Styela clava: one gene and its partners. The protein of the gene in region 2 purifies or fractionates together with the protein of the main gene of each other region. This does not show direct contact. Links are inferred from orthologs where the notes say so. Each region holds a gene or a part of one and is shown on either strand. Other genes may lie near its edges.

What was found.
Region 1: the proteins of mitotic spindle assembly checkpoint protein MAD2A-like (region 2) and uncharacterized protein LOC120327195 purify together in Homo sapiens (co-immunoprecipitation; 3 studies listed by BioGRID and IntAct, with this or other methods). This does not show direct contact. The link is inferred for Styela clava from reciprocal best matches to the Homo sapiens genes MAD2L1 and RNF8.
Region 3: the proteins of mitotic spindle assembly checkpoint protein MAD2A-like (region 2) and anaphase-promoting complex subunit 1-like purify together in Homo sapiens (affinity purification with mass spectrometry; 3 studies listed by BioGRID and IntAct, with this or other methods). This does not show direct contact. The link is inferred for Styela clava from reciprocal best matches to the Homo sapiens genes MAD2L1 and ANAPC1.
Region 4: the proteins of mitotic spindle assembly checkpoint protein MAD2A-like (region 2) and anaphase-promoting complex subunit 4-like purify together in Homo sapiens (affinity purification with western blotting; 14 studies listed by BioGRID and IntAct, with this or other methods). This does not show direct contact. The link is inferred for Styela clava from reciprocal best matches to the Homo sapiens genes MAD2L1 and ANAPC4.

What each region holds. Positions count from the first base shown.
Region 1 is NC_135253.1:16,792,620-16,800,628, forward strand, and holds uncharacterized protein LOC120327195, read right to left. Parts: upstream 3,006-8,009; 5' UTR 2,911-3,005; coding exon 1,453-2,910; 3' UTR 366-1,452; downstream 1-365. Other genes in the region: ran GTPase-activating protein 1-like, read right to left, coding at 110-271. UniProt on the Homo sapiens protein: E3 ubiquitin-protein ligase that plays a key role in DNA damage signaling via 2 distinct roles: by mediating the 'Lys-63'-linked ubiquitination of histones H2A and H2AX and promoting the recruitment of DNA repair proteins at double-strand breaks (DSBs) sites, and by catalyzing 'Lys-48'-linked ubiquitination to remove target proteins from DNA damage sites.
Region 2 is NC_135260.1:18,873,558-18,881,010, forward strand, and holds the start of mitotic spindle assembly checkpoint protein MAD2A-like, read right to left. Parts: upstream 3,020-7,453; 5' UTR 2,725-3,019; coding exon 2,649-2,724; intron 2,278-2,648; coding exon 2,128-2,277; intron 1,440-2,127; coding exon 1,301-1,439; intron 715-1,300; coding exon 620-714; intron 406-619; coding exon 230-405; 3' UTR 1-229. UniProt on the Homo sapiens protein: Component of the spindle-assembly checkpoint that prevents the onset of anaphase until all chromosomes are properly aligned at the metaphase plate.
Region 3 is NC_135259.1:2,111,629-2,119,619, reverse strand, and holds the start of anaphase-promoting complex subunit 1-like, read right to left. Parts: upstream 3,003-7,991; 5' UTR 2,265-3,002; coding exon 2,150-2,264; intron 1,480-2,149; coding exon 1,379-1,479; intron 1,188-1,378; coding exon 1,056-1,187; intron 476-1,055; coding exon 296-475; intron 91-295; coding exon 1-90. UniProt on the Homo sapiens protein: Component of the anaphase promoting complex/cyclosome (APC/C), a cell cycle-regulated E3 ubiquitin ligase that controls progression through mitosis and the G1 phase of the cell cycle.
Region 4 is NC_135260.1:6,796,610-6,803,855, reverse strand, and holds the start of anaphase-promoting complex subunit 4-like, read right to left. Parts: upstream 3,023-7,246; 5' UTR 1,977-3,022; coding exon 1-1,976. Other genes in the region: low-density lipoprotein receptor-like, read right to left, coding at 6,515-6,553, 6,733-6,807, 6,916-7,064. UniProt on the Homo sapiens protein: Component of the anaphase promoting complex/cyclosome (APC/C), a cell cycle-regulated E3 ubiquitin ligase that controls progression through mitosis and the G1 phase of the cell cycle.

The DNA of each region.
Region 1 (8,009 bases), on a different chromosome or scaffold from region 2:
AGGAGTTTCAGTCAAGATTCATATTTCTGAAATTATGGTTAGGGCATATTTGTAAATCTTTTACTAATCTATTACAAAAATTGTTTAATTAGGCCAAGGCAACAAGTACCTGTAGATCTGGACAGTCACGAATAGCTTGTATAACTTTCTTGGCATCTTCTTCATTATTCAGTTTTAATCCCTGTCCTTTGAAACTGACAATATTTTGCTGTCGAACTTCAGTTTTTTGTAACAAGGAGGCAATTTCATCGACTTTGTCATTTTTTGACATATTTTTGATTCACTCTTAGCGGTTTTAGAGGTTTATTTTATTATACAGTTAATTTATTTGAATATATACAGTGGCTGGAGAACCGAATGAATAGCTTAGACAAAAAATAAGAAAATATTTTATCAACTTGGTATCACAACTACATGTTTTGTGAAAGCAGAAGGCAACAAATCAAAAAGTAAATATTTATACAATAAAAGTTCATTACAAAAGACTTTTCTGAAACAATGTAGCCAAGCTTGAAATAAGAAAGCGGGTCACTGTTTCTCATAGAAATAAGCAGCATAATATAATGTGATAAACTGATGCTCCTTCGTTTTCAAGTATCTCGTACTCCTAAAAAAAATAAGCTACCTAGGAAAAAACCAATTTGAACAAAATGAAGTATCATAAGAACGAACATACTGGTGTTTTTATTTTGTTAAGAAAATGTTTCAGCAATAACAAATAAAACAATGAATATTCATATTTCATTGAACATATAAAGCAGTTAACAAAAAGAAATTCAAAATGCAAAAAAACATATACAACAACCTGACAAAAACTTATCCGAACACCAAATACTTTTACCCTATTATAATTAAATACTCAATACCATATTACACCAATATAACAATGGCAATATATATATATAAGAGAACACTGTCCGATGAAATCATTTCAAGCATAATTTTGACATAGGAAAGCGAGGGTAAGGAATTCGTGGAAATTTACTTCTCCAATATGAGTGTTGTTGTTGTACATTATATATATTTTACATGTGCTGCAGCTACGCTAGATCTAAAAGGTCTTTCAGGCACAGAAGATAGACACATGTGAATGCTGATGAAAAACAGTGAGATACTGTTTTAAAATCTAATCAAACATACAATCATTTCAACTTGAAGAAAATATATTTATGGCTTTTATTCCAACAGACTTGAATTGCACATTGCAAAATTGTATTCGCCGATGCCATTAGTTTTTGAAATAATGAACCAATTGTTTGAAACTTTTAGTGGATGGAAATGTCACCTCAGAAGCTATCACTTTATTTGTCTGTCAAATTTTCTCCCAAGGCTTTTCAGCTTTAGCTGATTTTAAAAAATTGATCCCATTTGGCAATTTAACTCTATGATTGATTTCCATAAATGTGAAGTAATTCCATATTGCCTATATATGTGAAATAAAGTTGCTACAATTCAATAAAAGAAAGTGATCCTTCCAAATTCATTAGAACTATCGCTGTCAGAATAAGAATCACTCTCCTCAGAATCTGATGATTCAACATCGCTTACTATTATAATATTTCGAGATCGAGTGCGATACCGTGAGTGGCCTTCTCTGTCATCATTGTTTGATCTACTCAGGTCGATAGGAGAGTTAGGTACTCTTCTTCCTCGACCCCGACCACCCCTCGAACCACGCCCACGCCCCCTATTTGCTTTATTTTTGGCAATTTCAGATTCAATTTTCATTCTCTCCTCAATAATTTTCTCTCTTTTTTCTTTAAGAACAGGAGAAATACCTTCGAGAGCTTTAGAAATATAATTATCCAGAACAAGAGATCGTGTCAATGTCAATATGGGCTGCCTACAAACTGGACAAATACTATTAACGTTTTTCCACTCATTAATACAATATTCACAAAATGTGTGAGCACAGTTCAATGTCGTTGAAACAATGAATAACTCTGAGCAAATTGCACACTGAAGTTCATTTTCCATTGTATCTACCACCGTTTTGATAGTTGAAGAATTTACCTTATCCTTTTCAAATGATGCTTTACACTGCTCAAATGCAATGTCTTTTTCTAGTTGAAGCCTCATCTCTAATTCTTCTTCCTTCTCTACAAGTTTGGTTTTGAAATTTTGCTCAAGCTTTTGTGTAATTTTCTTTTGTTCGTCTTCAATTCTTTTGTTTCGCAAATTAATTTCTTCTTTCAAAGCTTGTTCTTTCTCCTCGAGCTGTAGTTTTAATCTTTTATTTTCTCGTTCCATTTCATGATTTGTTTCTGATTGAGTTTCAATTTTCATTTTTTTATTTTTATTTTTTCCAGTGGAATGTACCATTTTATCATTACAATTTGTTTCGTGGTCAACTGTTGGAACATTTATTTTAACAATTTTGGCATTTTTATTTTTGGATTTTTTATATTCTACTTGTTTTGAAGCACCATTAGCAAGTCTTTTACTTTTTGCTGGATGCAGCTTTAAATAATCTTTTTTTAAAGATTCAGACATATGCGTCTTTGGCCCCCGTGGTTTGCTGTCTAATTCCGAATTGGTTGCAGATAACACATTATAAATAAATCGATCATTGGCGCTCATTGTTTTTAAAATTTCCTCATCATCAGGTCTACCAATCTCCACTTTATCACCAGCACTAAGACGATGCCAGTTAGAGTTCTCAATTTTAACACCATTGACGTGTATTCCATTCAATGAATTTAGGTCTTTAATGTAAAAGTTTTCATCTTTCTTTTTCAATATTTCTGCATGTGTTCTAGAAACATGTTGTGATAACAATCGTATAGGTAAATCTGATGATCGACCAAGTGTTACCACATCATTCACCTTTGTTGAAAATGGAATCCATTGATCAGGACCTTTATTTCCACTGTTTTTATCTCCAGTCACACGAGACAAGAAGAGCTCCATTGACAGATTGAATCACTTTTCAGAAATTCAATGAATGCATAGCTATATCTGTGAAAGTTTTAAAATCATATTTTTTTAGATACACTGATATATATGTACAGATGTAATACCAGTACAGATCTGCAGATGGTGAATAAACTTATTTTGATATATTCTCAAATTTATACCGGTACAACTGTAAAGCGTTACACATAAGGCAAAAAACGATCAATGCAAAAAATATTAGACAGAATACAGGAATAACTGAATAAGCTAACCAAAAGAGCAAACAAACAAAAATGGGGTCTCATGTAGTTTTCTACCTAACATACTTCTAGTGGGCGTAGCACAACAATTTTTTCATGTGTCAATCCTAACCCCCACCTGCAGACCCGACTATGCCATCCAAATATTACGTCTCTACGAAGGCACCGGCGCCATATCGGGCGATAGTACGTATATTTAACAAGCTCTATGACGTGTTTGTGATGTCGTAGTGACGTAATTTTTGGATGGCATAGTCTGGTGGGGGTTAGGATTGACATGTCAAAAAATTATGATGCTACGCCCACTAGAAGTATGTTAGGTAAGAAACTACACGAGACCCCAAAAATGTTCCCCATACGCTATAAATTTGACACAATGTATTATTATTTATTTACGGTAACCGGTCAAAAATTCATCAGAACAGATTAAACTTAGATTCCCGTATGTCTTGTACCGGCATTGTCCACATACTACCGTACCGTACCGGTATGTACCGTACTACATAAACTCAGTCAAATCTCAATTCACAGAAAAAAGTTTCATTAGAAATTACAGAGTCTGATACGGTAGTTGAGGTCCGGATAATACAGTAACACACATCTCTAAACGCACGATGAGTACCTTTTTTGCTAAGCGCGCCAAATCAAAACTTTTTGACTTTGCCAAAAAGAGGCTACCGGTACTTCGTGACCCACATGCAGCGGCGGCGGCGTGCGTGAAAATCTATCTTGTTCTTAGATAGATAGTTTATTTCGAAAACTCCATAACAAACCTAAATTTAAAATGGAGAATTCTGGAGGGCAAGCAAAACCTACAAAAAAGTTTAAAACATGAAGTATCTCATGTGCCTGCCCACCAGCACGCACACAAAAACACAAGCCCAATTAAATGAGGCTTGGGCCAAACTTAAAAAACAAAATACACGATAGTAATACTAATAAACTTTCGGGCTGTTGTACTCTCTTTCAACAATTACGTTGATAATGACCAATACCTACAACCTCATGCAAAGATAATGTGGGGAGTGGAATGTAATAAATTTGCGACGATAGTCATACTCATGAGGCCATGAAAGCTTTAAGAAAAACCAAGCCATGAAAAACTACACTGATTGCTAGATTGGGCATTGCGGAAAAGGTGATAAGTGGTTTAATATACAAACAAACGCAAAACCATGGCGGAATGAAACGGAATACTGGCTGGAATGAAACACTCGTGAAATCACAAAGTATAATCAGAGCTATTATATACGGTAATGGCTCTGGTATAATAACCCTCTGTCTGTGGTTTGAGCCATGCTACATAACAGGGGTTCTCAACCCGTCGATGCGTATTCTGCGGCCCCCCAAAGATCTTTGATGAACCCAAACATATCATAATATCTGCGGCGTAACGAATATAAACGATTTTTTAATTCGGTATCATTCTTCTCAACCCTTACAGCGCATGATAAGATTATGGATTATGTCATCACAGCAAATAGATTAATTACGTATTGTTTTTTTTTTTTTTTTTTTTTTAAAGGTCCACGTTGTGGATTCATAACAGTTTTGTAAAAATAAATAAATGATGAAAAAATAATAATCATAGAACATAATTACGTATTGTTACGTAAAAATTGAGTTACTTAGCTCGCTCATTGCACCCTCCATATACCTTCGGAAACGCGCTTCAAAACGGTGTTACACTGCGTCCAGCTTGAAGGCACTAAGTCATGGCGACAACGAAGAGAAATTAAACGACGGAAACAGAGTTTTTAACTCTGCGTGGAACAATGAATGAATTTGCTTTTGCAGAGATAAATGGGAAACCCATCTGTCTCATTTGTCAACGAAGTAAATTTACAACGACACAGTAAAACTAATCCCATACCCGACTTGGAATGGTAACCGGACGAGAGGCCGGGGTTCGCCATATGGATAGGCCGTCTTATCGGCTTTCCTCTCCCCCGGGATAAATATGTAAATCCTATCCTATCCACCACAAACAGCTTCAAGAGTTCAAAATTGCATATCCATCTGGTTGTGATCTTATGATTTTTTTTAAAGTAGGGCCTACTTGTGAACAGAATGCAGACTCGGAATTCTCATTTAGGAAAAAAACGTCTTTGTAATTGCAAAAAAATTGTTGCTGTTAGATATAATAATATTTTTTCTATGTTGTAAAATTTTGTCATAGTTCTCGTTAGGGAAGAAATTGGAACTGCAAACTTACGAATGCTATCCATTAACTATGTTTTAAAATGCATAAAAAGGAAAACAAAAAGCATATTATACATCAGTATCGGACTAATAAATGAATAAATAGTACAAATATATGGTAATAATATTCTGTGGCCCGTCGCATCGTTTGTGGTCAAAATGCGGCCCTTTTACATGGGAGTTGAGAACCCTTGCTCTACAAGGTGGTGGTCTTGAAATCCTAAATTTCTCAATAATTAAAATTTTAGCTGGACTAGGACTATAATATTTTGTAGAAGTTTAAAACAGAATGGGCCTAAGTGGTGGTCTTGAAATCCTGAATTTCTCAATAATAAAAATTTTAGCTGGACTTAGGACTATAATATTTTGTAGAAGTTCAGAACATGATGGGCTAAGTCCAGCTAAAAATTTTATTATTGAGAAATTCAGGATTTAAAGACTACCATCTTGTAGACTGTAGAGCATGGCTCAAAACCCCAAAATATTAAATAAAGATAGTCCGCAGTTCCAATATGATGGGCATGAACATCAGAAATGAAATGTCCCTAATAATTTGTTCAGTGCAACTTAGACCTAAGTCACCCTGTTTTACCTTGCATAAGTTGTTGAGAACAGAATGGGCCAAAATCCTTTATGAGGATAAAAAAGCAGGAAGGAATTGAAGCTGAAATGCAAAAAAATATTGATTGCAAAGATATTCTCATTCACATTAAAATAACCAGAGATCAGATCTTTACTAAGTGTGAATATCTAGAAACGCTCTTTGGGATTACCAATCTATCCTATTGAACGTTTAAGAATGCGCAATTAGATCACAAACAGGATTCTAGTTTGCTGATAAATATATATATATATGGTGATCGCCAGCAAATTCGATATACAGAAAAATACCCTCGTTTCCACCCGATACTCGTAATTGTTGTAGTAATGCATCCGCTGTGGCCGATCTCGTGAGCAAAGTTTCTACCCGAAATTGTGTCACTTCCCCTATTAGAAAACCTCGGTTACCATTTCTGAAGCCACGCAATTAGCGAGAAATTGGAATTTTTATATTGCGTAAACGCCCATATATCTTGACCAATAAATCAGGGGTAGGAAAAAAATTGAATGTCCATTATATTCGTAGTTTTTATTTTCAACAATCTTGCACATTGCACAAATTATTAGCCTTGGCATGCTATTTCATTCCAATTATTTATTTGGGTAATACGAGTTCAACTGAGGTCACCAGGGGTTAAAAAGTCACGAAAATCTGAGGGGGAACTCCTATTACCACTTTGATAGATAACAAAATGACACCATGGGTCATATCAAGGTGTATATCATCTGTATTATCAGTTAACAACTGCTATGCATGAATAAAATTTTTTTTACCTCCTTCCGTCACTCTCATAATATTTGGTTAAAAAAAGGCCACAAAATAACATGCCACACACCTATTGTTGTGCTCTTGGTAGCTGACCTTTGTAGGCTATGCTTCGGACGCATTCTGTCGCATGTCGCGGAAAACATGGCCCCGTGCATGTGTCGACGGAATTCGTTGACCAGACCGTTCTAGTAGAATGTAGATGATTCAAAATGTATAATCTGTCACGAGACTTTTACTGAGAAAACGGTAGGAACCGAAAATGGACGTAAGTCGATTTGGGATGCACCATTAATTGAGAAAGACGTTGAAAGCAAGCGATTGAAAGTTGTCTTTCACAGTAAATTTTTATATCATCTGAGTAACTTGTGCTACAAAGCATACACAATGAAATCTCAACTTGAAAGGATTTTAATTTATGTCCGATCGTTAAGAGGGATGCGGATGTTGAAAGAAGTGTTTCTAGGGTGGGAAGCATTCTCCAAGCAAGACGGAAGGACAGCTAAATATGGAAATGCTCTTAACAGTCTTCGACTTTTAAAGTAAGAATCCTAATATGAACAAGAGAGCTATGCTCAAATATATAGACACATAGCGCCACCCAATGGCAATAATTTTGATGACGTCATAGCGAGAAAAAAAAAGTGATAGCCTTCTGGAGAAAAATTTTATCTTTAACCACTGAAAATTTCAAAGCAATTGGTCCAGTATTCGAAGAGAAAAGCGATTTTTTAATGATAATGACGAAAGAAAATAACAATAACAACAAAATTTTAAAACGATCGTTATGGCCACTAAACGTGTCCAACTAGAGGTGAATAGAGCATTTAGTAAGGCAGGGACTTCATACGAAGGAACTAGCACGCAATCTATCCTGAATGTCGTACAGAAAAACGAAAATCCTTTCGAAATGCCCCCTGAAGAAAAAAGGCTGCACATCATCCTCTCCTCAGTAACGACGTTATGCCCATTAACGTCAGAGAACAACTTCTCAATGTAAAAATGATGAATTATACAAAAGATATCGAACTGAAAGATTCATAATTAAAACAGTTTAACTTTCTGAAACTATTCATCGTACTAACCTGAAAACTCCGAGAAAGGTGTACAGAAATTGAGGGCAAGGCAGCAATTAAGAAAGAAGATGCTCCTCTGTTTGCCTCGAAAGGATTTATGACTAAACCAATAAAAAGTGCCACTGTCCGCAAACTAGAACGACATTTGGCTCCAAATGACCCAAGTAATCAGGCAACCTGCTACATCATCGACGTTATGACAAACATTCG
Region 2 (7,453 bases):
GCATGGCTATTCATTCAATTATAATGTGTGCGGTAGCGTAGGTACAATAAATTTTGCGATTTACGATGTCCATGAAAGCGTTCTTAATCTGTACCCCTGTCGGAACCCCCTGGCCGCGCAACTGGTCACACCAAATGGGAAATGGACAAAATTGTTCCATAATTTCAGTAGGAGGTTGAGCGCAGCAATAGTTTCTTCACTGTTTTTTAAAAAATTGGTGTTAGCATTTTCATCGGATGGTATTAAACTTGTATGACACAGCCCCCTCAACTTTATGAACTGTAGTGTTGAATGATCTCAGTTTCACTTCTTGAGAGTCGGTGATCAAGAAAGCACTGCTTTCCTCCAACTTTGGTGATATATTTTCAGCATCATGACTTGTGTAAAACAGAACATCGAAAGAACCTGTTTTGTATTGCAATTTAAGATTTTATCTAGCAATTGCATGTAGTATTATTACTGGTAATGCGTCTATCACTAGCCAGTGACTAATGAAGAATTTAAAAAGAGGCAAAGGAAGGATGTATCAAAAATGTGGGAACCACTGGTTTCCAAGGTTAGTATGTTGAGCCCAATTATGTTGATGTGAATATTGAAGAGATAATCAAACCAAACTTACAGACAGTTTCCAAGAGAGGCAAGAATGTAACCGTAGCTGTTATTTGTCTGATTACAGCACATATTTCTTTATGAATCTCTGCAATTTCCTTGGTTCTAAATCAATGCAATGAATAAATTGATATTTGAAAATTGAAACCTGATGGTATCTATGACTATATAATACTGCTGTTTTGATATAAATCTCAAAATAACATTTTTAAATGCTTGAATTTTCCAACTACTATGAGTTCACTGAATTTCAACAAAAGTGAAAACATACTGAATCACTGTATTTTAAACACTGGCTCACCGGCATATGAATATTATCCTGCAAACACATCTAATTGATGAACAGAATTTAAAATGGCAAATCCTACATTTGTAAAATTTTGTAACGACTCTGAAACAATGTTGTTGGGAGCGGGACATTGAAAATGCTTGTAACGACTCTGAAACAATGTTGTTGGGAGCGGGACATTGAAAATGCATTCATTTTATGATATTTCATCTCTATGGAATGTACACAAAAATGTCTGTTGGATGATTTGAATGTTTCCATGATTTTTTTATCTGATTTGGAATAAAAATGGTTGAAAGTCAGAGTCTTGAAAGATGAAAGGGCTTGAAGCATTGAAATGGGGTCTACATCTTTTTGAAGCAATAGGGCCATAAGTATAAATAAAATCAATATATGACCTACTTGTGATTCTTTTCTCCATCTTTAGAAGTTACTGTCTTGTCACAATCTATTTCAAACTGCCATCTTTCAAGTGGTTCCTTTGTGTCAACATCTTTTATAACGACAACAAGCCTGTTGACAACACCTTGTTCTAACCATTCTGTGCATAAAATATTATCATATAAGTTATCATATGTCAAATCCCAAGCAATATATGACATGGGGTTCGCCAGAATAGCATTCTTTTTCCCAGATTTCCATCAGATCATCTCAGTAATTTTAGGATTCTCAAATAACTATAACACGAAAAGTTTCATAAGGTAATTCAAACTACATTTCAAAGAGATTTTGTTAAAGAACAAAATTAAATACCAGAGTATATTGTCACTTATGGGCTATGGCCCCAGGCATATATCGAGCATAGCTTGGCTTTGAGTAACAATGAAACAACTTTTGAGAACAGGAAACAAGAAATTTGTTACATATAGGCTACCTAGCATAATATTTTGAAAGATCATTGAGATGAAATTGGACAACAATTGAAGAAATTTACATGACAATGGTAACAAAATAAATACTATCACAATTCTCAGATTCCAATTTTCTCACCTAGGATTTGAAATGCTATTATTTATGTTGCAAAAGTATGGCACTAAAAGGAAGGTTAATTTCCATAAGACACGACTATCAAACGTGACTAGCCAATTATTGTCTTCTATTAAAGTCTAAAGATATCAGATGATGTAAGTAATAAAAATTTCCTTATTAGATCACAAAACTGATTATAATAGTTAGCGAACATGAAAAATGAATCAGAAGTTGATTTCAAAATTGAATTTGGAGATCACCGGTTAATTGTGGACAAACATTTTCCTCCAAATATTCTTTAATCTTGTCATCTGTGCAAACAAGTATGGTCAGTCCATATTTTTTCTCTCTGGTAAACATTTCCGCTGGATATATTCCACGTTGATATAAAATGCTGTTGATTCCATAGTCTGAATTATAATCAAAATAGAGCATGCAATACGGTAGAAAATTCAGAGAGCCAAATCATTATTCGAAGGGGTACCATGATAATAACCAATAGGCTATATCAAAAACCAAGCTTGATCGCTTTTAATCTGCTATTGTAAATCTGTAAACATCATGGCACCATGTACTGAAAAAAAAAAGACTACTGTACATTCTATAAAATCCAATCAAATACAAGCTTGTACTGTGCTTCATGCACTACAGCATGGTGCTGACCTCGAGCCTGAAAGTCAAGTCTAGCATATCATAAACTGAAAATGCTGTGTCTAACCATTTATCTAGGTCGCTAGGATATAGTAATAACAGCATGAATCAATTAGCATGAAAAACTCACAGAAAAATTCGGAAACAATTGCTGCTGATCCTTTTAGCGTTATTTTATTCAGTGAAGCCTGTTGAGTTGGAGGCATGTTTAATTCAAAGTATCAGATTCTACACATATATAGACCAATAACTGGAAACAGAAACATATTAAAAACCACTTCGGAAAGGACACAGACGGCGATGCCTGGATGTGGAGCATCATGCTACTGTGCTAATCGTTAACTTAGCGATATTACGTTACATATATGGCATGGTATGCTTACCATGCACCCCTGTGCAAGAGGAGTAAGACATATCGTAATCGCTGGTCAGTTGTTCATGGCTTACGCAACACAGCAGAGGGGTTAGATGGGTGAATCTCACAAACTTGACATCCCGATTCAAGATTTTGTGCAGCTGTTAACAAGGATTTAAAAAAACGCTGGTGCAGTGAAAGTGGGAAATGTTTCTCCGGACAACCACAAATTCGTGTTTATGACATCCATTAGGCTAGTATTTTTCTCTATTTTGCTTTTAGAAGGGAAAAAATGAGCAGTCGAGAGGCTGGAGTATATATGATTGCTGTCCAATGACTTCTGGCAGGCATGCGAAATACACATTATGTTGGTCTGCTAAGTCAATGGGGTCTAGTGTAGTTTCGTACCTCAGGTACTTCTGGTTGGCATAGCATACTAACCCCCACATGACTGAGTCATCCAAAAATTACGTCACCACGACGTGATGAGGCCCTTCAAACTATACGAACTGTCATCCAAGACGCGCAGGCAATCACCCGAAATTGAACAAGCTATTTCTTTCGTTTTCTCATCGCAATGATCCCAATATGAGAGAGATCCCTGCCGTTAGTGAGTTTATTATCGTCAACGCAGATGCTATTTCAGGTGATCGTAGGTATATTTTGGCAAGCTCCATGACGTGATTGCGACGCAATTTTTGGATGGCCTAGTTAGGTGGGGTTAGGAATAGGATTGATGTGCAAATATCGTTATGCTACCCCCACAAGAAGTACTTGAAGTCGAAACTACACGAGACCCAACTCACGACCTTCATTCCGTGGTTTAGTGGGAAAATAAATTGTCCCCTACGAGCATTTTTTCGACACCAAGTTTAACACAGACTGGTTCGATAACTTCTTCAAACCAGCAGATGAATGTACTGGTATCAAACTATCCACTTGGTGTTGCATCATATACTGTCCCCAGCAGGGCCATCGGTCAGTCGGTGGTCCAGGATCCATAGGCGTTTATTTCCAAAGACCAGTACCACAAAAGGCAAGAGGCTTCCAGCAGCGGGTCCGCAAAACATAATTGATATTGAACTTTCGCAAATCATCTCCACTCTGTTACCGGTAGCTTGTTTCCTGCCACGATCATCACGAGGATTTGTTTGGCTGTAATTGAATACTGGAATAAGTTGGTTGGGGGTAAACACGCCGCTATTTTTAAATTTGGTTGAAATAATTTATTATTTCTTCTCAGCAAACATCTGCACTATCTCTTTTAATGTTTGAAGCGAGGATAATGGGATAACCCCTTACTTCAAACCTTGGATCAGTGGATAGAACCGTTCAAACTCTGCATCTGCCGACCCATCGACTTTGAACCCTGGCATAAATATAGGGTGGTCCAAAAAATCAGGGGTCTAGTATAGTTTAGTACCACAAGTACTTCCAGTGGGCGTAGCATAACGAATTTTGCATATGTTATTCCTAACCCCCACCTGACTATGCCATCAAAAAATTACGTCACTACGACATCACCATCACGTCATAGGACTTTTTAAAGTATAATTAAGATTGCCCGAAATGGCATATGCGCCGTCTATAACCTCCTCCTATCGGGATCGTTGTGGCGAGAAAACGAGAGAAATAGCTTGCTCGATTTCGGTGATCGTCTGCGCGTTTTGGACGACCATCTGCATACTTTGGTGGGCGACGTCGAAATGACGTAATTTTTCGGTGACGTAGTTAGGTGGGGGTTAGGATTGACATATGCAATAATTGTTGAGCCAGGCCAACTAGAAGTGCATGTGGTACTAAACTATACCAGACCCAAAATCAGAACCGAGTTCATTTGAAACACATTTTTGCGGTGACTCTGTAGACAGGTAGAGTGTAGACCAGGGGTGCCGAACTCGCGGCCCTCGAACGCTTAACAATTATTGATATATTTTGTAAGGTTTTTAATCTAAATGTAATACATTTTTTAAAACTTCCCAATTGAAATTGATTATCCACGCAGAACACGACAAATTACAGAAAGTAGTTTTGAAAAATTACAAATTTTTTTGTTTCGTTTTGACCTGATTATGGATACACCTCAAGCTAGCAAGAGAATACTTGAAAAAAAACAGTTCAGTGATTAAGAAGAAATGCAAAGTACATGAAGAAGGTGGCATTTATCTAAAAAAAGGGGGGGTTGCAATATTTTCAAAATTCGAAATCCAACTGTTTAATTTGTCACTTTTCTATCAGTACATTGAATAAATACAATATAAGTAGACATTATCAAAGTAAGCCCAGCAGTCAATATGACAAATTTGAATATCAACTTCGAAACATGAAACTGTTGCAGTTGAAAGCACAGCTAAATCAGCAGCAAACCTGTCTTGTAAAAACAGTTGGAACTTCTCAAAAATTTATCGTTGACAAGAAATACAGTTGCTACTAGAATTGATAAGATGTCCGCAAATTTAAAAGAACAAATAAAATTTGCGTCTGCTAACTTTGAATATTTTTTCTTATCATTCGATGAATTGTGTGATATATCAGGCACTGCACAACTTGCGGTCTTTATATAAGCTTGTGATGCTAAGTTACAAATAAGGGAGTAATTTCTGAATTTAATCAAACATTCTCAACGATGCAAATTAACCGATGGTCATGTGACCTCGTTACTAAGAATTGGTAGCCTACTGTAAAATCATTTCAGCCTGATATTAGTAAGCTGTTTAAGTTTATTCTGTATTTTTGTAGATTTTAGGTTTATATACAGGGAGTCCTCGACTTACGACGCAGTTCTGTTTCTGAGACTCGGTGTAACCCAAATTTCAGTGTAAGTCTGAACCTTATACTGTACAGTGGTACAGTGCATGAATTGCAAGTGTGCAACAGTGCAGTATCTTAACATCTTTTTTTTGCTTTGAGTCCATAACAAAGGGCAAAAGTAAAAAAAAAAACGATCAAACAAGTTACGAAAAAAACGACTTAAACAACCAAAATGACGTACAGTATCACTGGAACTGTGTACAGTACTGTACCATGTGACTGAAGCTTAGTGATTATTCGTTCATATTCGTAATAGTTCGCAATTGGTCACGTCGTGTACGATGTAAATAACGAAAACCAATGAGCCCAGAGCACTGATTTTCCTGATCACAATGATCCAGTTTATAGGCTTAGATATTACAGTACAGTATTATCTTTTATATCTGTATATGTTCGTAAAGTGCGTTCGTAACCTCGAAACAGCGTTATGGAGTGCGCGTTTGTAACCTCGAAACATCGTAAGTCGCGACCGTCATAACCCGAGAACACCCTGTATTAAGATCAAGTCATTTTTGTGTATGCATGTTTTGGATAGTTGTACAGTTGTATGTAAAAATTTATAATTTTTTGTAATAAATAAAGTAAATTGCAATAATAGTGCAAAGGAAAGAAATTATTATGAAAATGCCATTTGAAATTTAAGAAAATAGCAAAATTTTATTTGGCTGTTTAATTACAACACAATATGTATGATTGATTGATGTATCATAAAATAGAAATGCCCAAAGTATACCGTACATTATCAAAAACTGTTTTCGGCCCTTGGCACAATTCCCAATATACAATGCGGCCCTCGAATACACACGAATTTGACACCCCTGTTGTTGTTGTTTTGTTTTTTTTAAAGGTCCACGTTGTGGATTCATAACAGTTTTGTAAAAATAAATAAATGATGAAAAAATAATAATCATAGAACATAGTTACATATAATAAACAAATATATTCGTAAACATTCAGTATTATCCAGCAATTCATATTATTCCATTGTTGATTCCAGATAAAGTTTCCCATGTTTATCAGTAAATATACATTAATTTATATGTTTTTAATTTATAGCAGAAAAATAAAAATTTATACAATTAGTCATAGATTCTTACAAATTATGTCTAGTTCTTTTATAAAACTAGGATTATGTCTAAGTTGTTCTATATTTCTCCTTGCTAAAAGGGATTTTCTAATTCTTGTTACGACACTATTTACACTTGGATTAACATTTTCAAAAATAACTGCATTACGTTCTAACCATATTTTATATCTTGCAGTACACAGAAGAAGTATGACTGCATTACGTTCGACTAATGATAAATGTGAAAAACACTGATTATTTAGTTCTAGTAAAATACATGTTTTATAAATATTTTTTAACTCGCAATTGTTTATTTTTAATACAACAGAAAAAACATAATCATATACATTTTGTGTAAATGCACAGTTCCAAAATAAATGAGATATAAATTCTGGTTCTTTAAAACAAAGTACACATAAATCATTTCCAGTAATATGTCTAATCCTTGGTTTAACTTTTAGTGAAAGAATGTCCCACATAAGTTTATAATTGAAAGTTTTCATATTATTAGCCAATATTTTACAATGTATGTTTGAACAAGCTCCTTCCAAACTACCATCTCTAAGAAACACTATTCTGTCACCCCTCTTCAAATTATCAACTATTTTATTATAAATTATTCGATGTTTCCCTTGTTCTAAATCAGTTCCAGCAATGTTATATTGCCGAAGGAAAGTAATAATGGCTCCATAATATCTATTGG
Region 3 (7,991 bases), on a different chromosome or scaffold from region 2:
ATCTGATGATGATACTGATGGAGCTGAATCACTTGAATTCTGATTTCTTTCAAAAACGAGTCCAAAATCAGTGTTCCACACTTTTCGAACCTGCGATAAATTGACCAAAATTTCATGCAGTGATAAATCTTAATTAAAATATGACCGTGGGACAATTTTAATTACAGGATTGTAATGTTTTGAATTTTCTATACACTGGAATTGGCTAATGAAAAGGGTAGTTTCTGTTGATTTATGTTATGATACTTGGTATGAATTTCTTTTCATTTGTAATTTGACAACTGACAACACATACTTGGAATGGCAATGCTGTCACAAAATCGTCTCCTTCTCGAGAAAACACATGCAAACTTCCATCAGATACTGCAACAAATCCTTCAACGTTTTTCTTATTTTCACCATGTTCATCAGTATTTTTATATAATTCATGAATATGAGAATCTTCCCCATCAATCACAAATGAACACCAAATAGCCTGTCATAAGTCAATAAACATTTTTGGTTTAATTTTTGGATATGCCATATTTTCCGGCATTTTATTGGATGGCTATGCTTATTTTATTTTTTTGTGGGGTCGCTTATTTGCTCAAAATTTCTGTTGCATGGGTCTTCTCAAACATGAAATGTATTAACTTTGCATCAGGATTAATATATTTTTTAATGTATTTGTACCCAAAAGGTCTGCCAATTATGTTATTTACCATAATTGACTTTGATCTGATATCCAATATCAGTACTTCAAAAATAAAAAGGCACTTCAAAAAGAAAAGAGCTTCCGAGCGATAAAGGGAATGATGATCCTTTGATTTTGGCATTCAGGATTCAGTGAAAAACGATACCAGACTAAAAAACAAAACTGCTAACAGTGCTAACTGACCATAAAGGTACAGTGCAGTACCTATCACACCATATTGACAGGTTATTTCAACATTCCAGTTAATAGGTTGTTCAAAATGATTGAATGAATATCATCCAAGAAAAAAAAAGTAGAAGCCTATTCAATTTGCATCCAAGACATCCACTTAAAGCTAGAATTAGAAGGAATTATATCTTACATGAATTACAGGTGAATCAATTGTATATGTACTGATGACTTTGTATCCTCTACTCCATACTATAGTATTTTTACAAATATATAATTCCTCTTCAGCATTTGCATATTTCCGCAGGTGCCATCTCTCAGAAACCTGAAAATATCCCAAATATATTACATTTACATGTGTATTAAATAAATATAAATTAGGCAATGATTATATATATTCACGTAAGACACCGATGCAGTAGGCCTACCTATACACATACATATTATTGTAATCTCAATAAAAACATTCACAACTATGGCATCCGTAATTATATACATCCATATGAAAATTTATACCCTATTCCTGTCATCCAAGCTAACTTTGCTGAAAGAACCGATTAAACTTCGATCTAATCTTAGAGGAGCTTGTGACTGATGCAAGTGAAGACAAGAAAGGCCTGTGAAAATAAAACAAAACAGGATATCAAATTTTTTTTCAAATAATCCAGAAGTAGGTGGCATAAGGTTGTTTACATTAAGTTCTCAACGCCAGTCGGCGTTCGGAGTCGTTTGCTTAGTGAGTCCGGAAATATCCGGTCTTTTCAAACATATTTATGCCAATGTCAGTATTTTGGCGTCCGACTCCTCACTTTAGTACTATATTGAGTTTGTTTTTTAAACTTGTATGACCCAATGTTAGACTATTCATAGGTGTCGCTGCTCGATAACCAATGCTGGTTTATCGCATCCCTTTTTACCCTGAAATGCATTATTTTCCTCTCTTTTCTTATCTCGTTCTGTATGTACAGTGTGTATTTCTTATATGGTGATAAAATAAATTACTGATTACTGTTCGATGTCACCAATATGACAAACACTGATGGCCTGAAAAATTTAAAGCAATTTGCGAAGAAAAAACTCTCATTTACCTATTTCTGTTTTCACTTATTGGTCAGCTACCGGTACTGTATTTGCAAAATGCTATTTCTTGTGCATTCTCAAACCATACAAAACATTTTCTTTTTTCCACCCTTCTTATTTTTAAGGTAGGTAATAGTGAATTTTTGGTAGGAGCAAATTGATAGAACACTAAGAGGGACATAGTAATACTGTGATATTATCGCTCACCTGGATGATTAGAAATAGCATGGCGACCATAGGGTATAAACTCCACTGGTTCCAGAGCGACAATCATTGCATTAACAGAAGTTGATGTTCGCAGTAGATTACTGGAGTTATTCATGAGTCAAAATAGGTGTCTTTATTTTTGTAGAGTGATTCAAATCCATTAATAACAAATACAGAATTACCTTAATAACTTCAGAACAAATTCAAAATCTTTATTCTTTAAGCAATAAATTTATAGCTTTTAGAGTAACTACTATCTGACTATGCAATGCTACAGTTCAAAGTTATACAAAGTTCTGAACTCTACTGTGGGTCAATGAACAGATAAATGACTGCCCGACCTCTGATCTTGAATATCAGAAATGGAGTAAGATGTTCGGTATCCACAGGAGCAGTACTGCACTAGAATCTCAGAATCCCTCATATGACTCCAGTCATTTCTGCATTTGAATATGAGCAAGTGACTAGTGAGAATGCTTATTCCAGAATTACTAATCAAGGTGTATAATGTTCACAAAACTAAACTGAACACCTCAAAAAAAGAATCGCGAAAGAAAAACATACAATTTGAATGCAAAAAGGAGGAGGAGTTGCACAATTAGAATAAAATAGAAGCGATTTATTTAACTGAACAAGAATGGGCTAGATCTGAAGATAGACTTACTGCAGTACCGAATGATTTGACTGAATTAAAAATGTCTCATTACAACAGAGAACAGATATGAAATTTGTAGTGAGTTCTGGAAATATACCAATAATACTGTACCGTAAATAATACAGTAATAGCATTACTGAAAACTGGCAGATCAAAGTGTGGACACCTGATAAAGTAGACGAATGTCAAAATGTGATTCCAGTAACTGAGTAAGGTGGGGTAAGGTGAATGTCTAAATTCTGGATTCTGTAATTGAACATCCACTCATCACTTTGATAACCAAGGTTACCGCAGCCCACACCTGCTCAGGCTGACGTCAACGGGTTAACCAACTATTTTACTGACTTTGTAAATGTTATTACATAAAAACTTGGTGACTCTTGACAATATAGAGACCATATCTGATATACACAACGCAAATACAATACCAAGCACGGCCCAGTTACCCCTAGTATGGCCTGACAAAAACGGGTGTGGGCTAGCGTCACACGAGTGTGGGCTGCCATCCCCATTAGTGGGATAGCGTCACACGAGTGTGGGCTGACGTTCTGACATCCTAAGGCAGGGATGGCGAACCACTGACCCGCGGGTCACAAAGTGACCCACCGCGTTTTATTCGTGACCCGCCAAGGCACGAATAAAATAAGAAAAATGCTAACATATCAGTGATAAAAAATATTAAAATCGGCCTTAAATTAATCTAACAATACCTAAACTATTATAATGTACCGTCAGTTGGGCAGTCAGGGCTGCGATCGCTTATATTCAAATTGTTAATTTCCGTTATGATAATATTCAAAACCCCCAATCTTGGACGCATGTCTGCACCGTTGTGTGCCGTTATTCAGCTATTGGCTCTGACATCGTTTATGACATAACAATCGAATTGATGTTCATTTCTCGCAACGTCTTGTCTCTTCAGAAGTGCATCTGCAGACTGTTTTAGGGGTTGTACGAGAACTAGATGCCACTTTGCATTTTATTAGTTTCTCGCCTACAATGCCGTTGAGAATACAAAATCTTTCAGACTTGAAATAAAACCTAGAAATCTGGAATAACAATGGGGCAGTGTAAAAGTGCTTTTAATATGGTTAAAGCTGATATAAAACTATAGCACTATCAGAGTGGAATTCCCTTCAAACTCTTTGGAACCGTAAAATAATTTGCCGCATCATCCTCAACGTAATTCACATGTGTGTTTTCGTACCCTTGATCGAGTGCCATAAAAAGTTCCTGATAAAGTGCTGTAAAGTAAAGCACTAAACTACACCAACATTAACAGAACCGTTGTATTATGATTTGTTTCAGATGTTTCTTATAGATACAAACATTGATTAAATATCTGTGACCCACTCTCTTCTGTTCCGCGATAAAAATATGATTTTTGACCCATTCATTGATAAAGGTTCGCCATCCCTGTCCTAAGGCATCCTAAACGTTCACAGATTACTAAATTACATATATCCATGTTTAACTCAGCGCCAGAAGTCCGGCAATTGATGGAACAAAATAGCCACAATTGCCAGAAAAATGAATCAAAATCAGCTGAACAATAATATCTCTAATCACTGTTGCCAGATATATTGGTAAACAAGCATGAATTCACAGGAGGGTTTCACAACAAAAAAAATTAAATCTAAGTGAAATATCAAACCTATTCATTTCCATCAATACAATTGAGGTATGAACAAATCGAATCTGATTTGCACAAATACATCTTTTAAAATAAAGATTGAACAAGCAAATTCAAAAGCAAATTAAGTAACATTTACCCAAGGAGATATATTGTATTGATGGCTTTGAAGCCTGATTTCGGCACTTCTAATACTTTGTACACCATGAAATCGACTTATTACATTATTTATCCAATTATCCAAAAAATTACAAAAAATTCTACCGGGGGAAAGCCTTTAAAATAAAACAAGAAACTACCTATGTATAACGATAATCATACAGTACTGCAGTAATAACTGAATAATGAGAAACATTATGATAATAATAACAACGGAACGTAATAAATTTGGTGAATCTTCATTGCTTTCATTTCAATATACAGATATACCGTTACTGCTATAACAAAGCTTTGACAACATCATCTAGTCATCTGGATTCAGAGATTTGAAGATACTGAGATAAGTTATTGCTGTATTCCAGACTGGATTCCATGGCAGATGCACGCCCGAGGGCGCTAGCGCTCCACAAAAATGCACGCGAGCGAATTCAATTTTGCACGCCGAAAATTTGCAATTGCTCACCAATGTAAATCGGTTTAAATAGTTTTTAAATCAATAATCTAGTAATATAAAGATGCCAAAAAATTATAACTTTACAATTGTCGACTAATACTTGCTTGCAAGATTTGGCCTGATCGAAAAATGCGAAGCAAAAATCACCATATCGTGTTGAATGATAGGAATCCCGTGAGAAAAATCGCCTCCTCACCGACGCTGGCCAGTTATGGCTCTGATTCAGCGTATTTTTAATACAATAATTTTACACGGATGTACTGAACAGTACCGGTATCTAAAGTCGCACAAACACTCTCAAAATTAGTGACAAAATATAGAAATGATGTTTTTGGGGGTCAAAGGTCAAACGTCCATTTTTGCTATGATCCAACTTATTTTTACGCGGATGTATTGAGAGGTATCTTAGTTCGAAATCAGTTTAGCGGGCGCAGTTGTTTTGCACGCCGTGAGCTATAATTGCACGCCAGAAATTCTTATTTGCACGCGGGAATTTCTGATTGCACGCCCGATTTCTCGTTCGAAAAGGCCATGAAATCCAGACTGGGCTGTATTGCTGTATTGCAGTATTGAGATATAAATGCACTTACTGCAGCACTGACTTTGGACAGGCACATTGCAAATACAAATAGCCTATGTGGTATTGTTACTGTATTACAGTATTCTGGTATTACATAGCGGTAGTCTACTGACATACGTATTAGATGCGACATGCGAGTAGCCCAGCTTAGAAAGTTAATCGAGGCAATCCAACAGTTACCGTACCGTACTGGTAGGCTATCCACTGATTAAGCATCTAGATCTAACGTTACATCCTGCCATCAGTAGGCCTAGTTCTCAACCTTTTTGGTGCAGGTCTGCAGCAGGCACAGCAGCACAGGGTAGGTCTGTAGGTATCCCCAACCTGCCAACGAAACATTCCAGACTGTCAGAGGCAGAGATGCTCGAGGAACTGTGCGATATAGGCGTTTAGCCGGATTCCAGATAGACTGTGCAAATGTAAAAATAACACCAGGTACCAGTACAGCTTGCAGTAGTACGGTATAAGTATTGCTTGTTTTACAGTTTTAGCTCCAATTAACTATAACTCAGTACCGGTAACTCCAGAACTCTGTAACCGCACGATCGAGACGGTCTCGAAACATTGAAGATCGCGCTCTCCACTCTCTTCGCTCTAACGACCACGGCGCACTTATTAAATTTTCGGGTTTGGGCCCCGGGAAAAATTTGCGGCTGGAAGTTTCCCCGAGCATCCTTGTTATATTTACTTTGTGTAACATAGGCTCGTCTGCAAGATATAAAGAGCGACATAACAATGAAGGTATAGCGACCACTAAGACACTTTTGTCACTCAGACCAATGAGCATGTATATATGCTTATTGGTCTAATCGGTCTAACGGAGATATTTACGGTTTAATGTATAGAAATAAAATGTATATGTACGAGTCAGCAATTTTATTCTAAAGGTAATTATACAAATTGTGGTGTCATTAGGTCACATGTACCTTTGAATGTGGACAAGTCCTGAGAATCAAAACATTCATCAAGATTAGTTTTTACAATCATTTAAAATAGTACCGGTCTCGAATACATAGAGAGAAAAAAACCCAGGCAAACGGATTATCACAGATTCAACAATAATTAAAAAGATAGAAAGTATCTTTAACAATGGCTTTTTTTTTAGGCTGAACAATAATAATCATCACATTGATTACAGAGCAGTATTTAGTGTAAGTTCTGCACATTTTACCATAAAGGCATATTAAACTTGAGACATTAATTAAAAGAATTAGTTAATCAAGAGGCCAACTCCAATAGCACAAGCTTTTGTTCAAAGCTGCATCTAGTGTTAAATACCGATGACGTAAAATGTTTTCAAAAACAGCAAAACAAGATAGCCAAATCGAACTCGCATGATGTCCAAGCCTTGGGTGTTCAAACATCCCGAAAAAATCACGCCTTGCATTTTTTCTACATTCCACAACACATGTTTATTCTATTTCACTGCTATTCGAATTGTAACACAAATCCGATTTGACAGCCTAATCACGACTGATCGCTCTGTGACATCAACCATTTTCATCCAACATCTCAGGACTGGCAAGACAGGAACCCGGCCTAACATCAATACCAAGATGCACTATTCACCAAATCTTCAAGCGAGTCACTATGCAGACCAATCAAACTTTATCGCTAACTTGTAATGCAGCATCACGTTTATAATTCTTTCCATCACGGGTAGAAACTCCGTTTATATATGACTCCTGGTAAAATAGTTCATTATTTGCTAAGCTAGTCTCGTTTTTAAGTCAGTAGCTGTCTCATCTGTAGTATATCATTCAATCCCAGACTTCTGACCGAATTCCATGCGTATATGAATAGCAAACTGTTTGTCACATTACAGCACATGCGTTTCATGCTTCTTTGGGTCTCTCACCATTGTCTCTTGTTTTCCTTGCCCAGTTTGCACTGCTGACTGAATAAAAAAACATTGGTTAGACAAAGAAGTGATATGCTAAGCACCACAATGCTGGATGAACATAACTAAGGTTACAGAAACATTTATGTCAGATGAGATAATCCTGAAAAGATACTTAAAAGCACGGCTCTAAATACAATAGTCGGAATGAATAGAGCCTATTTGTCCCGTTTTAGTCTGCCATATTTTGTAGTATTGAATAGAATCAATAGATCAAAGATTCCTAACCACGGATCCCGTGAAGAAGTTGAACTATTATAAATTTATAATTAATTATCCATTGGAACCTATAATCAGTGGTTCTAAAATCTTTGAAAAATTATTCAAAACGGTCCCCTTGCAATTTTTCTGAAGAGTCGCAGTCCATTAAAGAAATGGAAGCAAATAGCAACGCGGTATATCAAGCATTCATCCATTGAATGACATTCAAACAGTTCAATGAGATGGGTGCACCTAATTGG
Region 4 (7,246 bases), about 12 Mb from region 2:
GTTTTAGATCGTTTTTCAAGTAGCTTTTCACCAAGTATAAAAGTCATTGTGTTTTCATCATACCAGTCAAAATCGAATATTTCAAGGATTTGTTCTGTCGTTTCTGTGTTTTCAACATTCGGCAGAGATTCAAATTTATTGAAGTGAATCTTCATTGCTCTCATAGAGTTCAAATCAACTTGTTTTGAACCAAGGAAAAATAAATCTGCTTTTTCAGATGAGTGTTTATTTGAAATCAATAAATATATTCCATGTCCTTCAGGGTTTTCATCGACTCCCATAGTAATACCAGCATTTGTACTCTCCTTGATCCAAAGTTGTACTTTTGGTCTGAAATTGCCAACAGTTTTATCAAGTTGGATTTTATGCGAGACATTGCAGTTTATGGACTCTCCAGATAAACTTACAAGTTTTAACAACTGATTTGTCATTCGATTAAAAATTTGTCTCAGTGATGACTCTGGCTGAGGATGGATTATCAACTTACTGTTTGATAATATACTACTGCTTGCAACAAAATTGGTCCATTCATTTTGAGTAGTCTTTGCTAGTTGAGTTAGCGGCTCATCTTTTAGATACTGATACACTTTCTCCAAATGAAATTGTTTTCCTTTTTTCAAATCTGTCTGTCTCCTTGATACTAGATGTTCGTAAATGAAATCAGCTACCAGTGCAACATCATTTCCAGACGATTGGCCCATATCGTCGACTGGCTCGGCCTGCATTTTCAACATTGAGCAATACAGCCAACGGAAAAAAGCTTTGAAGTTTTTTAGACTTGTGTCAATGACTTGGAGCATTTCAGAAACTTTAAGCATTAATGAACCAGTTGTGGATAATAAATGTTCAACATCAGAAATCTCAAATGGAAGAACATTTTTGTTATCAACAGCCATTCCTCTAAGCTCAGTTAAATGATAGTAAAGTGACATCAAACCAGTTTGAAAATTAACTATCAATTGCTGCTGGATGCTTGTATAAGACGATTCAATAAGAATGCCCAACTTTTTAATATCCTTTTTAGTAAAATGTCTTGTCAATATATTTTTCAAAGAATCCGTTGGTTTTCCCCAAATTAAAAGCTGGAGAAAGTCATCACCAATATTTTCAGATGAGCTACTTTTTACCAAATAACTTGTTAACTGTGAATCAACTTCCTGGGTTACAGTGTCACATTTTTCGCTGATACTTTCAAAAATAATATTCAAATATTGGTCGAGTGTTAATACCTTATATGCTTTATGTGCTGCAGCATAATAAAGTTCAATATTTTCAGTCAAAACCTTAAGATTATAAATTGTTGCCCATGTTTCTGTAGAATGGGAGATATGTTTTGAGTATACAACTGTGAGACTGTCTATATTGGGAGATATTTGCATTCCGAGAATGCAATGTGGATGTGATGATTGATCATGGCATGTAACTCGAGCTATCGGGAATATTCCATTGACCAAAATAGTCACATTACAATTGGAGTCGCATGATAGTAAAACATAGAAATTTTCATCATTAACAGCATACATCAAATTGCCAGTCTTTTCTTCATTTTCAATATGCAATTCTGGTACTTTGGGAAGATATTCTTCACTATTTAGGCCCCTATTCTTATGTGAAATGTCTTTTAATTGAGGAAAATTCATATCAAACCATTTTATAAGTTCTGTTTTTGGAGATGAAAATTTCCAAAGTATTTCTGCTTTTTCCATGTAAATAAATTTTATATTATCCTTGGTGCAATCATAGGCAACAGAAATGACTTTGCCATCTGGTCTCCATGATAAAGAAAGTATGTTTGTACCGCTCTCAGGAACAGGTAATATCCAAATTCTTTCTTTTGAAACTAAGCGATACAATAGTAGTTCGCCAGTAGCTGTGGCCACTGCTAATAAATCCAGCCTCGGTGACCATGATAACAGTTTAACTTTCGATTTCACATGCTTTTCACCCAGTGGCATGAATGCATTGCCAACCTTCATAATTAGTAATACCTACTGACCTTAGGTAGGATCTTAGTAATCTGAATCAATTGCATTACAATGTTTTTTGGCATACCCCATATTATAGTATTACGATAAGATTTCGATCCTAGAGGACATTTCAAAAAAATGGGGGTCCAACCCCCAAAACATGGATGGAACAAATTTCTGAATTTTGTTGGTATTTGGTAATCAGAAGTTGGTAAAATTATATTCTCACAACTGAACTGACTAAAAGAGGAATTACAAACAAATTACCGTACTGGGGGCTGGAAATGGGTTTCCACAATCTGACAAAGGTAGGGATTGTGCGAAGACAGAAATAGTGAATGAAATAGGGAACTGGGGAATGAAATGTGTTTATTATATAATGGAGAACCAGAGTTTGTTTCACATATTTTCATGTCTTGGAAATTCACACAAAAAATTTTGTTTGTTTAGGTATTATATTAAAATTAACTAGAATACATTTTGTTATAAATTAGGATTCTTGCATATTATTTAATTTCAAGATCCTTTATATAGACTAGATACTGTTGAATTGAATGCAATTATTCTTTTGTTATCAATAGTGAGATATAAAATTGGGACTTTGTGAAGGGTCTGGTATAGTTTAGTACCACATCATCCACATGCCCACTAGAAGTATATGTGGTACTAAACTATACCAGACCCTAACTTTGCACAGGTAACCTTAATGTAGTAATGTTTCTGAACTACTAAGTCTGTTGGGGGAAACCACCATTTTAGATAAATTTGTGTTTCTTAAGGCTCGGCGCCCGGCGGTGCATCGCCCTAAGCTAGTGTTGCCATACCGTCCAGAAATTGTGGACTTGTCCGGAATTTTGAGTTAAATTTTGCGTCCGAGAAGAATTTAAAAAATGCTCAAATGTCCGAAATTTTACTGCATCTGCAGTCGTACTGTGCACACTGCTATTACAGAACATTGTTATTTCGTACCGTGCGCATATTTTTTACTACAAGGTCATGAAAATAGTTATGCACTGTCCGGGATTTTGCTTTTTCAAATATGGTGACTAAGCGTTCGAGCCGCTGAATACCTGCGTGTGTTCGCAGGTTCGAATCGCGCGGGAGGGAGGGGGGGGGGGTAATCATGTGCGCGAGGATTGCTGGACTCCTCGTCGCTGTCGAGTGGTTCACGTGAACGCTGGTTGGTTACGGCTTCCTCCACTAACTAATCCCATACCTCATTTGTTCCCAAACTTTTTTTCGCGACCTTAATTTTCATAAAATCAGAGCCTACATCGCAACTGAAAAATAATTAGTACGGCCTTTACGCGTGATCAATGTTTCCCCGGCCTTTGAACTCAGGAAACTTCCCCCTATAAACTTAAAGCCTATTATCAATATAACATTTCTCATGTTTATTGTAAATATTAATAAGAACATTGCATTTTACACAGACATATTTCAGATAATTTTTTCTCAAATTTTAATGTCAGAATGTATAGCTTTTCGGCTTTATCCTAGGCCAGGCAAAAATGTCTGTAAGCTCCCGCGCAGGATAATCAAAGGGTATATGGCTCACGTAGGCTTAGCCTAGAGCCCTAGACTATATCCAACGCTTGACACGATGCAGCAAGCCACGTTTTCTTTTAGGCAGGAATTCTTTTCATTATCTTTACCTTAAAAGTTCCCGCACTTGACCAAATTCGTCGTCATGCTCATATTGTCACAGTTAGGTTGTTTTACTGTGTTTGTAACATCAGACAGGGGTCACCAAACTTTTTTGACCGCGGACCAGGTATGACTCAAACCGTAAATATGCTCAAACGGTGTTGAAACGGGCCGGACAAATATTTTTGTCAATGCAATACAATAAATTCCCAAAAGTTGGGAAATCCATTCAATTTATTCAACAATATAAATTCTACATTTCTGAAGTCTTGTATATTAAATTCTATATTGCAGAATATATATCAAGAACATCATAGCAAAACAAATATAAAATATACAAGATTTCTAGACAACTATCCTGAGGTTAGCTGCAACGACTAACATACCGGTTAGCTGTTAGCAATACAGTGGCTGTCATGAATATCCGCATGTAAGCAGTACAAAAGTTAACGTGACTTGTCTATTAGCGCAAAATGCACGTTCGACGTTCATTTTAGCACGAGAAACGTACACAGCAACAGTTTGATTGACTTGATTCATACTTAAATTTCGGAATAACGACCAAAAACTGACGAATAGCTTTCAAAATCGAAAAAACCAGGTATTGTTTGAAACCACGACTGAAAATCTGTCAGAGTGACAGGAGTGTCCGAGTGGATGCCAACGAGTCTATTGTTACGTCACCTTTTGCATCTTGCTGATTGGCAAATGTTACAAAATGAACAAGGAAGTCGATGCTCGGGGAAACATCAAGGGTCTGTCGAGGGCCGTGAAGGGACATGGGCAGTGATGGGATTTAGTCGGTTAGCACAGGTTCTATAGAACCGTCTCACGGAATTTTATGAGATCAGCGAATCGGTTAGCATTACTGGTTACTGTCAATGACTTTTTGTAACAGAAACGGCTGAAAAATATGGCTTTTGTGATGGAACCGGCCGACAAAAAAATTGAATCCCACCACTGGACATGGGTCCACAACCCAAACGCAAGCTGCCGTGACAAGTTCCTGCAATCTACAGGTGGGCAAATAAAGTCAACAAGATTACAGCTAGATAGAGAGGTCGATAAGCAATTACAGTGTCCCTACTGAGCGAAGCTCCTTGCATACAATCGGACCCCATACAATCAAATTTCGATTTTCGTTTCTTTGGACATTCAATTTGGCCTCTAAAATCCCTCGTATTAATCGCCCAGTTGATGGCGTGAAAACACAGCAAACCTGGTAATACCACCCCACATGTAGCGGATATGGTGAAAGGAAGTCAACCCCATTACGTTGTATAGAATAGACAATGGTGATCTCAACTCAAAAGAAAATAATCTATAAAACTTCCGTCGGCATATGGGTTTGAAGGCATTTGCCTGGATTACCGACTTGTCGTCCTGATCCGTAATAAGAAGAAAAAATGGAGTGACTCCTGCGATAGACTTCTGGATCGTGCTATAAATTTTCTGAATCGAGTCAGCGGTTACACGTTCAGTGTTTGCAGGCGTTAGTGTATTTAAAACAGACGTGTCTACACATTAATGAACATCATTTGCAAGAAATCAAGTAGCAAATGTTTAAGCTACCAATTATGGCGATTGGATACCACTTGGGCCTGAAACCTACATTTAAATGGTTTGGCAAATGATGTAAATAAACGTCTTTCAAAGATTTCAAACATTTTTGTCATCATTTACACTCACTGAAGCTATACGTTTGTTTCATATTCAGATATATCCATAATAATATATCGCGAATGCCGCCGACCTTGTGGGCTTGTTTCGTCGACGTAGGCTTCTATCATCTCATTGGCATACTCGAGCCGTATAAAACCTGAGAGTTTGCCTAATCACGAGCGAACAAGGTTGCGTTTGACGATTGGAACGTGGGTAAAGCACGGTTAGATAAGGTATGATGTAGTATAGGTAAGTTTAGGGGAGAGGGCAGTGAGTCGAGACTAAGAAGGTTGGTGAAAAAGGGCAGTGGTTCCGGGATAGGGAAGTTGTGTGAGTTAGGACAGTGAGTCAAGGATAGGAGGGCAGCGCGTGTGGAGGTTAGGAAGGTTGAGGGGGATAGGGCAGCGGGTGGAGGATATGTGGGTTGAGGGAGGCAGCGGGTGAAGAATAGGAAGGCTGAGGGTGATAGGGCCTCGGATGGAGGGATATAGGGCAGCGGGTGGAGGATGTAAATCCTATACCCTCCGCATTTTATCTGACCAATCAGACTTTTTGCTGCTGCAATAAAGTTCGCTACTTGTGTCATCTGACTATTGGTATCTCATACTCTCATGCATTGCTTTGCAGCAGGCAGTAATTTTCTGGGTGTTTTGCAAAACTGGCGAGCATATTTAATTAGGAAACTGTATGTTGCATTTTACCCATCTGTATCCAATCGACAATTTAAAAAAAAGTTTGATTATCACTCATTACATATGCAAAAAGGGAGACCGCTTGAAAGTTTTCAATGCAATAAAACAAATATTAATCAAAAATAGTGTAATACCTATGAACTTGGATACAGATAATTGCTAAAGTGAAACATACATAACTGATGAAATGTGATCGTATATATTCCAGCCTGTGGAAATACGACGATGAAAGACTTAAACATGAAATATAGTCGTAACCTAATAACTTTAAACTAAGTAAAAGTCAATCTATTCGTCGATTATATTCTCCAGACTTTATCTATCTTGAAAATGAATGAGTTCTGACAGACTCTTCACAACACTATGTTATACATGAATTATTCGCGGGTCTTTCAGACCAAACATCTCTAGACAAGTGAAAAGTCAAGTAAACACCATTATTACGTAAAAATACAAAATATATACTGCATAGGGAGTCCAATCATTTTACATAATAATTGCAAATTGCTGCGGCTAAAGGATTATCCGCGTCTTTATAATACTAGATTACAAATCTTCGTAGGCCGCTCTTCCTTTCTTATCTCTCTGAAAATTAATATGAGGCAATTTCAAACTATACATGTAATACCTGAATATTGATATAGGCTGCAGATGTAACTATCTGGGTGTCTCGTCTATATCACAAATATCATTAAGGTTCTCTCATATTGAGCTGAGTTTATATCAGGGTAAATTTATCGCAGTTGATCATATGAGATTTTCACCTGTTTCTCCTCATCAAACTCCGATTTCACGTCGTAGGTGAATTCAGTTGTCTCGATAACGTTTTCAAGCACCTGCTAAATTAAGTTATTCAATTTGCAATTTGGCGACAAGGTCTATGAGTCTACAATATTCTCAAATTGTGAAACATTTCGGATTGTCAAAATCATATTTAAACAACTTACATTGATCTCATCCACGAGTGACGGTTTTACTTTGCAATCAGATTCATCCCTAGATATAGGTTCATATCCATCAGGACATGCACATTCAAATCCAATAGGCGTTGGGAGACACAGGTACTTGCATGGCGATCTTTCACAATGGTTCAAATCTAAATTAATTACTACTGTTATAAATACGCTTGCCATACGCCCCCGTTTAGCCGAAACATATTTCTTTATTTGATATTAATACATCTTTTTAACAGAGGCAGTCGATTAATCACTGATTCGCACCTCGCTTTACCAGTTCCGATAGAGCGAGATAAATTGTTATATCATAGTTTTGATATGA